Linked DNA regions of Oryctolagus cuniculus. The protein of the gene in region 1 binds, or shares a complex with, the protein of each later gene. Links are inferred from orthologs where the notes say so. Each region holds a gene or a part of one and is shown in the gene's direction. Other genes may lie near its edges.

The links. Proteins that work in one complex are often made in the same cells at the same time.
Region 2: CHCHD6 (region 1) and APOO share a complex: the UniProt entries of both Homo sapiens proteins name them as parts of the mitochondrial contact site and cristae organizing system (MICOS) complex. The link is inferred for Oryctolagus cuniculus from reciprocal best matches to the Homo sapiens genes CHCHD6 and APOO.

What each region holds. Positions count from the first base shown.
Region 1 is NC_091441.1:109,939,330-109,942,616, forward strand, and holds the end of CHCHD6 (MICOS complex subunit MIC25), read left to right. Parts: intron 1-300; coding exon 301-436; intron 437-2,433; coding exon 2,434-2,439; 3' UTR 2,440-2,660; downstream 2,661-3,287. UniProt on the Homo sapiens protein: Component of the MICOS complex, a large protein complex of the mitochondrial inner membrane that plays crucial roles in the maintenance of crista junctions, inner membrane architecture, and formation of contact sites to the outer membrane.
Region 2 is NC_091453.1:10,138,527-10,142,954, reverse strand, and holds the start of APOO (MICOS complex subunit MIC26), read left to right. Parts: upstream 1-1,569; 5' UTR 1,570-1,821; coding exon 1,822-1,830; intron 1,831-1,893; exon of another isoform or gene 1,894-2,228; intron 2,229-4,428. UniProt on the Homo sapiens protein: Component of the MICOS complex, a large protein complex of the mitochondrial inner membrane that plays crucial roles in the maintenance of crista junctions, inner membrane architecture, and formation of contact sites to the outer membrane.

The sequences.
Region 1 (3,287 bases):
GGAAGGAGCCTAGGGTGGAGCCTCCGCCCCGCTGCCCAGCCCAGTCAGCGTCTGCTGGGGTCTGAGCCTGAGCCACCAAGCACAGGGCTGGACCTGTGACCTCGCTATCACACTTAGAACCAGAAAGCTAAGTGTCTCTCCGAGGTTGTTAAAGGGGCCCTGATGGACATCAAGGTCATGGCCAATGCCCAGCTTGTGCTGTTGAGTGTGTGTGCATCATTTCTCTCCCTGCCCTCTGGGGAGAGGCCTGGCCTCACCTGCACCTGCATCCCAGGCCTGCCTGCTCTTTTCCTCCCGCAGGCCCCGCAGGGTGGAGCCGGTGTGCTCGAGCCTGCAGGCCCAGATCCTGCGCTGCTACCGTGACAACCTGCACGAGGCACTGCTGTGCTCAGACCTGGTCAAGACGTACCAGCACTGCGTGAGCGCCGCTCACAAGGTAAGGCCTTGCCTGCCTCCCAGGGCATGGGACGCTGGAGACACGGGGGGCCTGGAGTGTGGGAGACCCCTGTGCCAGCCTTGTTTGCCATAGTCAGACATTCTACCTGGAGAATTCGCCATGGGCGGATTCTTAGTATTAGGGTGTCCTCAGTCCCCTCCCCATGCCAATGCTCCCATGAGGGCCTTGGACATCTGGCCCAGGGGACGCAGTCCCTGTGCGCTTTGCCATTGGGCTGAGCCAGGAGCAGTGCTGGGCAGCCAGGCCCCGCCTCCAAGGGCAGTACCTAGTTAAGGGCACACCTGTGCCCCAACTCCTCAGCTCTTCACACCCGGGGCCGGGGAGCGTGGAGGAGGCCCAGAGTACAGGGGGGAGTTGTGGCAAGGGCAGGGAGGACCAGCAGTGGACGTGGCCCCCACAGCACAGCCTCAGCGCAGATCTGAAGTGAGCAGTGGCCCGGGCTCCCTGGCAAGCAGGCCTGGCTCTGTGCTCTCCAGGGCTCAGCCAGCGGCTGCAGCTGTCCTAAAACCTGAGGCCACTCCCGGAGCTGGCCCAGCTCTGGCCTCCTGCTCCGCGCCTCCCATGTGCCCAGCTGCGCTGCCCTCTCTGGCCGAGTCTGCCCGTGTCCCAGGCCCAGCTGCAGCAATGCCTCCTGATGCAGCCAGGCCGCTCCAGCGCTGGCAGGCCCTTCGTTGGCTTGTGTGTTAAAAGGTACAGGAAAGGCCGCAGGATGGGTTCTCCTTGCCCACAGAAAAGCCTTGTCCCACGTAGGAAAGAAGCTAGAACATCTAGCTAGGCATCTGTGGTGAAGGCGGCCGCGGTGCGAGGCTGTGTGTTCCCCTGCCGGGTCTGCAGGTAGCCCCTCTCCCATCCCACTGAACCGTGTCCCCGGGGCCTTGTGAGAGCTCAGGCCACCGCCCCGCTCCGCTCATGCCTGCCTGCCAAGGCGCCCGCACAACCCCAGCTCTCACTGTCCTTTAGCGCCCAGCAGCAGCTGGTCACGGGCCAGGTGCCTGAGAGGAAAAGAGGTTTTCTCCTGTGTCATGGAGCATGGAAAGCTGCTTGCCTGATTTTGAGCGGAGCGCAGAGCTGGCATGAGCTGTCCCCGCAGTCGTGCGTGCGGGGAGCCAAGCACTGGCAGGCGGGACCCCGTGGCATGGGCCCTTCATGCTGCTTCTCAGCAAGATGGAAACCTTCCCACAGATCCTATCCCCCACCCAAGTGATGGGGGCTCCAAGTCCCTGCTTGTCACACACCCGACCTGTTACGAGGGGGAGGCCCTGGGTCCTGCTGGCAGAGCCCGGCCCCCAGCTCCCCAGGCCTGAACCCTGAGCTCTGACACGCACTCTGCTAGCCTCCACCTCAGAAGGCTCCTGGTGGAGCCAGGGATGGGGGAATGAGGGGTCCTTGAGAGGAACCTGCTTCTAGAAACAGCCAGGTGGCAGGGGATGAAGCCCACCAGCTGTGGGGGCTGGGAAGGGTACAGCGCTGTCTCCTGCTCAAGGCTCAGGCCACCGCCCTGAGCTCCCAGAGGCAGCGTGGACACCTGTGCGGTGCCCTCCAGGCCCAGACCTCAGAGCCACGGACAGAGTCACACAGCATTTCAGCAGCAGGGACCAGACTGTGCGCACTCTGGGGTGCCAGTGTACACTCTGTGTGCTGCCTAGAGAATCCTGAGAGTTGTTGAATGAGCGAGCAGAGGCGGCCCTTGGTGCGGCAGAGCGGAAGTGGGTTGGGGCTGTTGTGTGCCAAGGTCTGCAGCCGATATGCAGGTTCCAGAGCACAGAGGAGCGGAAGGCACGGTGCTAGCTCCCGTCACCGCGGGCGCATGTCGAAGGAGGGCCTGTCCCCCCGCCTGGCTCTAAGTCTCAGATGTGTGACCAGGTCTCAAGGGATGACGAGGGAGACCAGCTCACAGTGAGTGCAGTGAAACGTCACCACCTGAGATGACTCCAGGAAGAGAGCTGGAACTGAACTCTGACCCCTTCTGCTTGCAGGGTTGAGGAGCAGCCATCACTCCTGGCCCTGGCGGTGACTTGGAGCCCCGAGGAAGGGCCTGCTCGTGGGACCACAGTCCGCAGACCCTGGGCCACAGCCGCCGTGCCCTGCCATTTCCTGCTGGGGCATCCACATATGCCTCTGAGCTTGGGGCTGCCCTGCACTTGGGAAACAGTATGTTCTCGTGTCCGAAAGCGAATAAAGCAGATGTCTTTGTTTGCAGTCATTCGCTCCCCAGCAAACAGTCCCTGCTGCCTGCTCTGTGTCCGGCCCGCTGTCGGACATTGGCAGTCAGAGCCCTGTGAGACAGACTGCTCCTCTCGGGGGGAGCCTGGCCTGGCAGGGGAGACGTCCGGAAACCTGTAGTCACACTGTGCAGCGGAAGCAGGTATGTGGTGCACCGAGGGGCAGGCAGCTGTGTTGGGGACGGAGCAGGGGGGAGACAGGCCGCTTCCCGGGGAAGGTTCTGGGTGCGCAGACACAAAAGTAGAACAGATGAGCGAGGGGCCTGCCAGAGACTGGAGCCCCGGATGCAGGGAGGGCGGTGCAGGCCCAAGCTGGGGCTACTGCAGCTGTCTGAGGAGAGCTACGTGGGGCAGGAGGCGGGGGACGGAGCTGCGAAGGCAGCAGGGCCAGGCTAGGGGCGGCGAGTCCTGGGGCAGGCAGGGGGCAGCACTGGCAGATCTCCGAGTGACGTCGCCCAGCTCCCAGGCACGGGCTGGGCTGAAGGCAGGGGTCGGTGCTGGGGCCAGCAGGTGCAGGGGCACAGACAGGGTGGGTGGAGAAGCCTCACTGGCAGGACTCTGAGTGTGGCCGGGCCGGGGGAGAGTCAGGGCTGTCATCCAGGTCTCTG
Region 2 (4,428 bases), on another chromosome or scaffold:
TATGTAAGGAGCTGAAATCAAAGATGTGCACATAACAAGTGCGGTATCAGTGCTTGCTATTCTTTTAAGATAATTATTGTGATGATTTCTTACTTCGGAAACATTAAGGAACATTTAACTTCCAGTGAAGGGCTTATGCTTAAGTATTTATTTTTATTTTTTAGAAGAGTTTTATTTAAGAAATATAAATTTCAAAAGTACAACTGTTGGATTATAGCTGTTTTTCCCCCTAAACCTCCTTCCCACCCGCAAACCATCCCAGCTCCTACTCCCTCTCCCATCCCCTTCTTCATTAAGATTCATTTTTAATTATCTTTATATACAGATCAACTTAGTATATACTAGGTAAAGATTTCAACAGATTGCACCCACACAGACATACAAAGTGTAAAGTACTGTTTGAGTAGTAGTTTTACTGTTAATTCTCATAGTACAACACATTAAGGACAGAGCTCCTACATGGGGAGTAAGTGCACAGTGACTCCTGTTGTTGATTCAACAATTGACTCTCTTGTTTATGGCATCAGTAATCACCTGAGGGTTTTGTCACTGGCCTTATTTATGTGATCCCTTTGACACTTAATCCTATATGATCAATTATGAATTTAAACTGATCACTTTAACTAGTAAGATGGCATTGGTACACGTCACCTTGATGGGATTTGGAGTCCCATGGCACGTTTCTAGCTCTACCATTAGGGATAAGTCCGAGTGAGCATGTGCTGAACTGTACATCTCCTCCCTCTCTTATTCCCACTCTTATATTTAACAGGGATCACTTTTCAGTTAATTTTACACGCCTAAAGCAATTGTGTGTTAATTAAAGAGTCCAACCAATGGTATTAAATAGAAAAAGAAAATACTGCAAATAAAATAGTAATGCTTAAGTATTTTAAAGAGAGAAAAAAGCATCCTTGGCGACTAAACTTAAAGCCTGATAAATGTCTAGCTCCTGGTAAAGACCTAAAAAACAGGCAGCATTGTGACTGCCACGTGGGTGCTGGTTCCAGTCCTGAGGGCTCCATTTCCAATCTGGATCCCAGCTGGTGGCCTGGAAAAGCAGAAGATGGCCCAAGTGTTCGGGCCCCTGCACCTGCGTGGGAGACTCAGCTGAAGCCCCTGGCTCTGGCCTGGGCCATTTCTGGCCTTTGCGGCCATCTGGGTAGAGAACCAGCTGATGGAAGACCTCTCTCTCTCTCTCTCTCTCTCTCTCTCTCTCTCTCTCTCTATCTCTGTAACTCTTTCAAAATAAATAAGTAGATCTTAAAAAACAAAACAAACCCTAAAAACCTTTGAGAGGTAAATCCAGGGCTCCTATCGGCGGCTTCTGGCTGCGAGACTCTGGAAGAAGCTTGAGGCCCGCTGAGCGCCCCCAGCCGGAGGCCTCTGAGGACGGGACTCCCAGCCCACACCTCCGGGCGCCCAATCCTGGAGGCGAAGGCTGACTCCCAGCGCCCAGCGGCGCCCGGCGCCTCCCTCCTCGCGCCTCCCTCCCGGCGCTTCCTCGTGCCGCCCACACTGAGCCGGGGCTTTCTTGCCGCCTAGCAACCACCGGCGCAGGGGCGGAGCGTCACGGAGGGCGGGGCTTGCGTCCGCCCGCCGTCCGGGGCGCTACGCGCTGCCGCTCAGTGACGTCGCTTCCAGTCCAGGGTGGTTGAGCTAAACTTTCGCCTCATCGAGTTGACTATACGTTCGTCACCCGCGCCGCGGCACGCCTGCGGTTGGGTGAAACAAGGCCCTATCGGGCCTCCGTAGTCGGCTTTTTGTGGTAGGCGGGGCCGAGGCCGGGGTGACCCTGCCGGAACCGCCGCTGCCAGCAACATGTTCAAGGTGAGAGCATGGAGTCGGGTCACAGTTGTCATCGCCCCCTCCCGGCCACCGGGAGCCCTCCCCGCGCTCTCGTGGGCCTTTCCGGGGACCGGGCACGGTCCGCCCCAAGGCTTTTCCCGCCTGCAGGCAGGCTGCGTTCCGGCCCCGCGGTCCATTCACTGGTCATCTTGGGGCGAGTGGCTGCCGGGCGGAGGCGTGAGACTCGGGGGCGGGTCGCGACGGCCCTTTTGGGTCGTGCTTCCGTGAATAAAACACTTTGAAAAGTTACGACACTCTCCGCAAAGCACCCACCCCTTCGGCTGGTGCCTTCTCGGGATCGTGGGCAGGGTGAGGCTAGTTCCTGGCGACGTGGGGTTTGCTACTCTGGTTGCCGGGCAGCATCAGATTTCAAGAACCTGGTATGTGGGTGGGGGAGGGTCGCCCTCGGAGTGGCCGCTGCAGGAAGCGGGAGGCTAGTGTGGGAATGGCTGGCTGGGGAGGGAAGCTCCACATCCCAGTGACCATTATCCGTGTTTAAATGGACGTGTTGACTTTCTTAGGATCTATGTGCTTGTGGCCTTTAATAAAAGGACTTTTACAGACAATGAAGACTTTATTTCCAAAAATCCGTATTGTAGCATTAAGCCATTTTTTAAAAATTATTTTTGCAGTCACAAAAAACAAGTCATAGGCTATCAGAAATTAATCTACGAAACTGAGCGTTCAAGAGGCATCATACCCGTAAAGTAGTGCTAATGACATCTTAGAACTGTGCTGCTCGCTTAAGCTTTATTGAGCTCTTGTATGCTTTCAGCACATTAATAAAGACCATAAAATCAGAACATCGGTTCTGCCTGCTAGCCTTGGCCTTGGCCCGTCCTGCTGTGTGACCTTGGACAAGGCATTTAACCTCTCTGCCTGTTTTCCTGTTGGTGACAATCGGGATGATAGCATCTGCCTCATAGGTAGTCGTAGGAGGAAGTAGTTGTGCGTAAGACGCTTGAGAGAGGTCTTGGCATGTAGACATGCCTCTGGTTTGTTTTCGGCGAGCTCACGGTTTAGTCAGCAGGACGAATCCCATAAGCAACTTCCATTCATTTGACAAGTTGAGGTTAAACACCTATTATGTGCTAGCAGCTCAGCTTGGCTTTAGGCTTACGATGAAGCCTATGCTGTGACCAGTTCAGCTGCATGGGTACCAGCTATATACTGTGGTCGTAAAAAAGGGGAGCAGGATCTTTTTGGCTTAGCCAGGAGTTTCTAACCTGGGGTCCTCAGTCCTTCAAAGGGTCTGTATATAGGGGGGCCCCTGGATTCTGATGGGGGAAAAACTTATTTTCACCCCATCTTCAATGAAACCAAGTGTTTCCTTCAGTTGTGAATACCTATTACCTATTACTGGGTAACAAACCACTGCAAAGCAGTACCCTAAAACAATGATTTATTATTTCTCAGTCTGGGCTGGTTGAGCAGTTCTGGCATCTTCCAGGGGCTGAATTGAGCAGGGGGCTTGACTGGAAGGTACTCTCTCTCCCGTGTTTGGAGGCTTGGTGTCCCTCCCTTGTGTCTTCCTCATATGGTTACGGGCCAGTCCTAATGTACAAACACCTGCATCATTTGCTGATGTTAAAACAAGCTGCATAGCCAAGTTCAGAGTTGATACGGTAGTGGACTGTACAAGGGCATGGTTAAAAGCAGGTGTGGCTCATTGGGGGCTTATTAATTTAACAAGCCTTACAGCAGCAAACCACAATAGTATTAGTGCCTGTTACTAACAGAGGTCACAGTACTCAGGCCCGCATTTTGGCGCAGTGGGTTAAGTTGCTACCTGTGACACCAGCAAGTGCTGGCTCGAGTCCAAGCTGCTCCACTTCTGAACCAGCTCTCTGCTAATGTGTTGTGGCCTGGCTCAGCTCAGGCTGTTGAAGCCATATGGGGAGTGAACCAGCAGATAAGACAGTCTGTCTCTGTTTCTCTTAAACTCTGCCTTTGAAGTAAATATTTTTTAAAAAGTCACAATACCAGTGCAAGTCAGAGACATTTTTATATCATATTACTGTTGTTGCAGATCTCAAAATATCATTTATGCTCATCACTACAAAATTAGAGTGCTTGTAAGATTCACTGTTAACATCTTTTTAATGAGTTAGTGAAGTACATATTACTACATCAAAAAAATTTTTTTAGAGATATATTTACTTCGTTGAAAGAGTTACAGAGAGAAGGAGAGAGAGAGAGAGAGAGAGAGAGAGATCGATCTTCCATCTGCTAGTTCACTCCCTAAGTGGCTGCAGTGGCCAGTGTGGAGCCTGGCCGAAGCCAGGAGCTTTATCTCGGTCTCCCGTGTGGGTGCACAGGCCCAAGCATTTGGGGCATCTGCAGCTTTCCAAGGTCATTAGCAGGGAGCTGGATCAGAAGTGGAGCAGCCGGTACACAAACCAGTGCCCAAAGGGGATGCCGGTGTTGCATGTGGTGGGTTTAGCTGCTGTGCCACAATGCTGGCCTTGTACACCAGAAATTCGAATTTTGAAAATATGTTTATTTGTAAAGGGGAGGCAGAGAATGAATGTGAGAATATCTTTCATCTGCTGGTTCATCCCTCAAATGCCCACAGTGGTA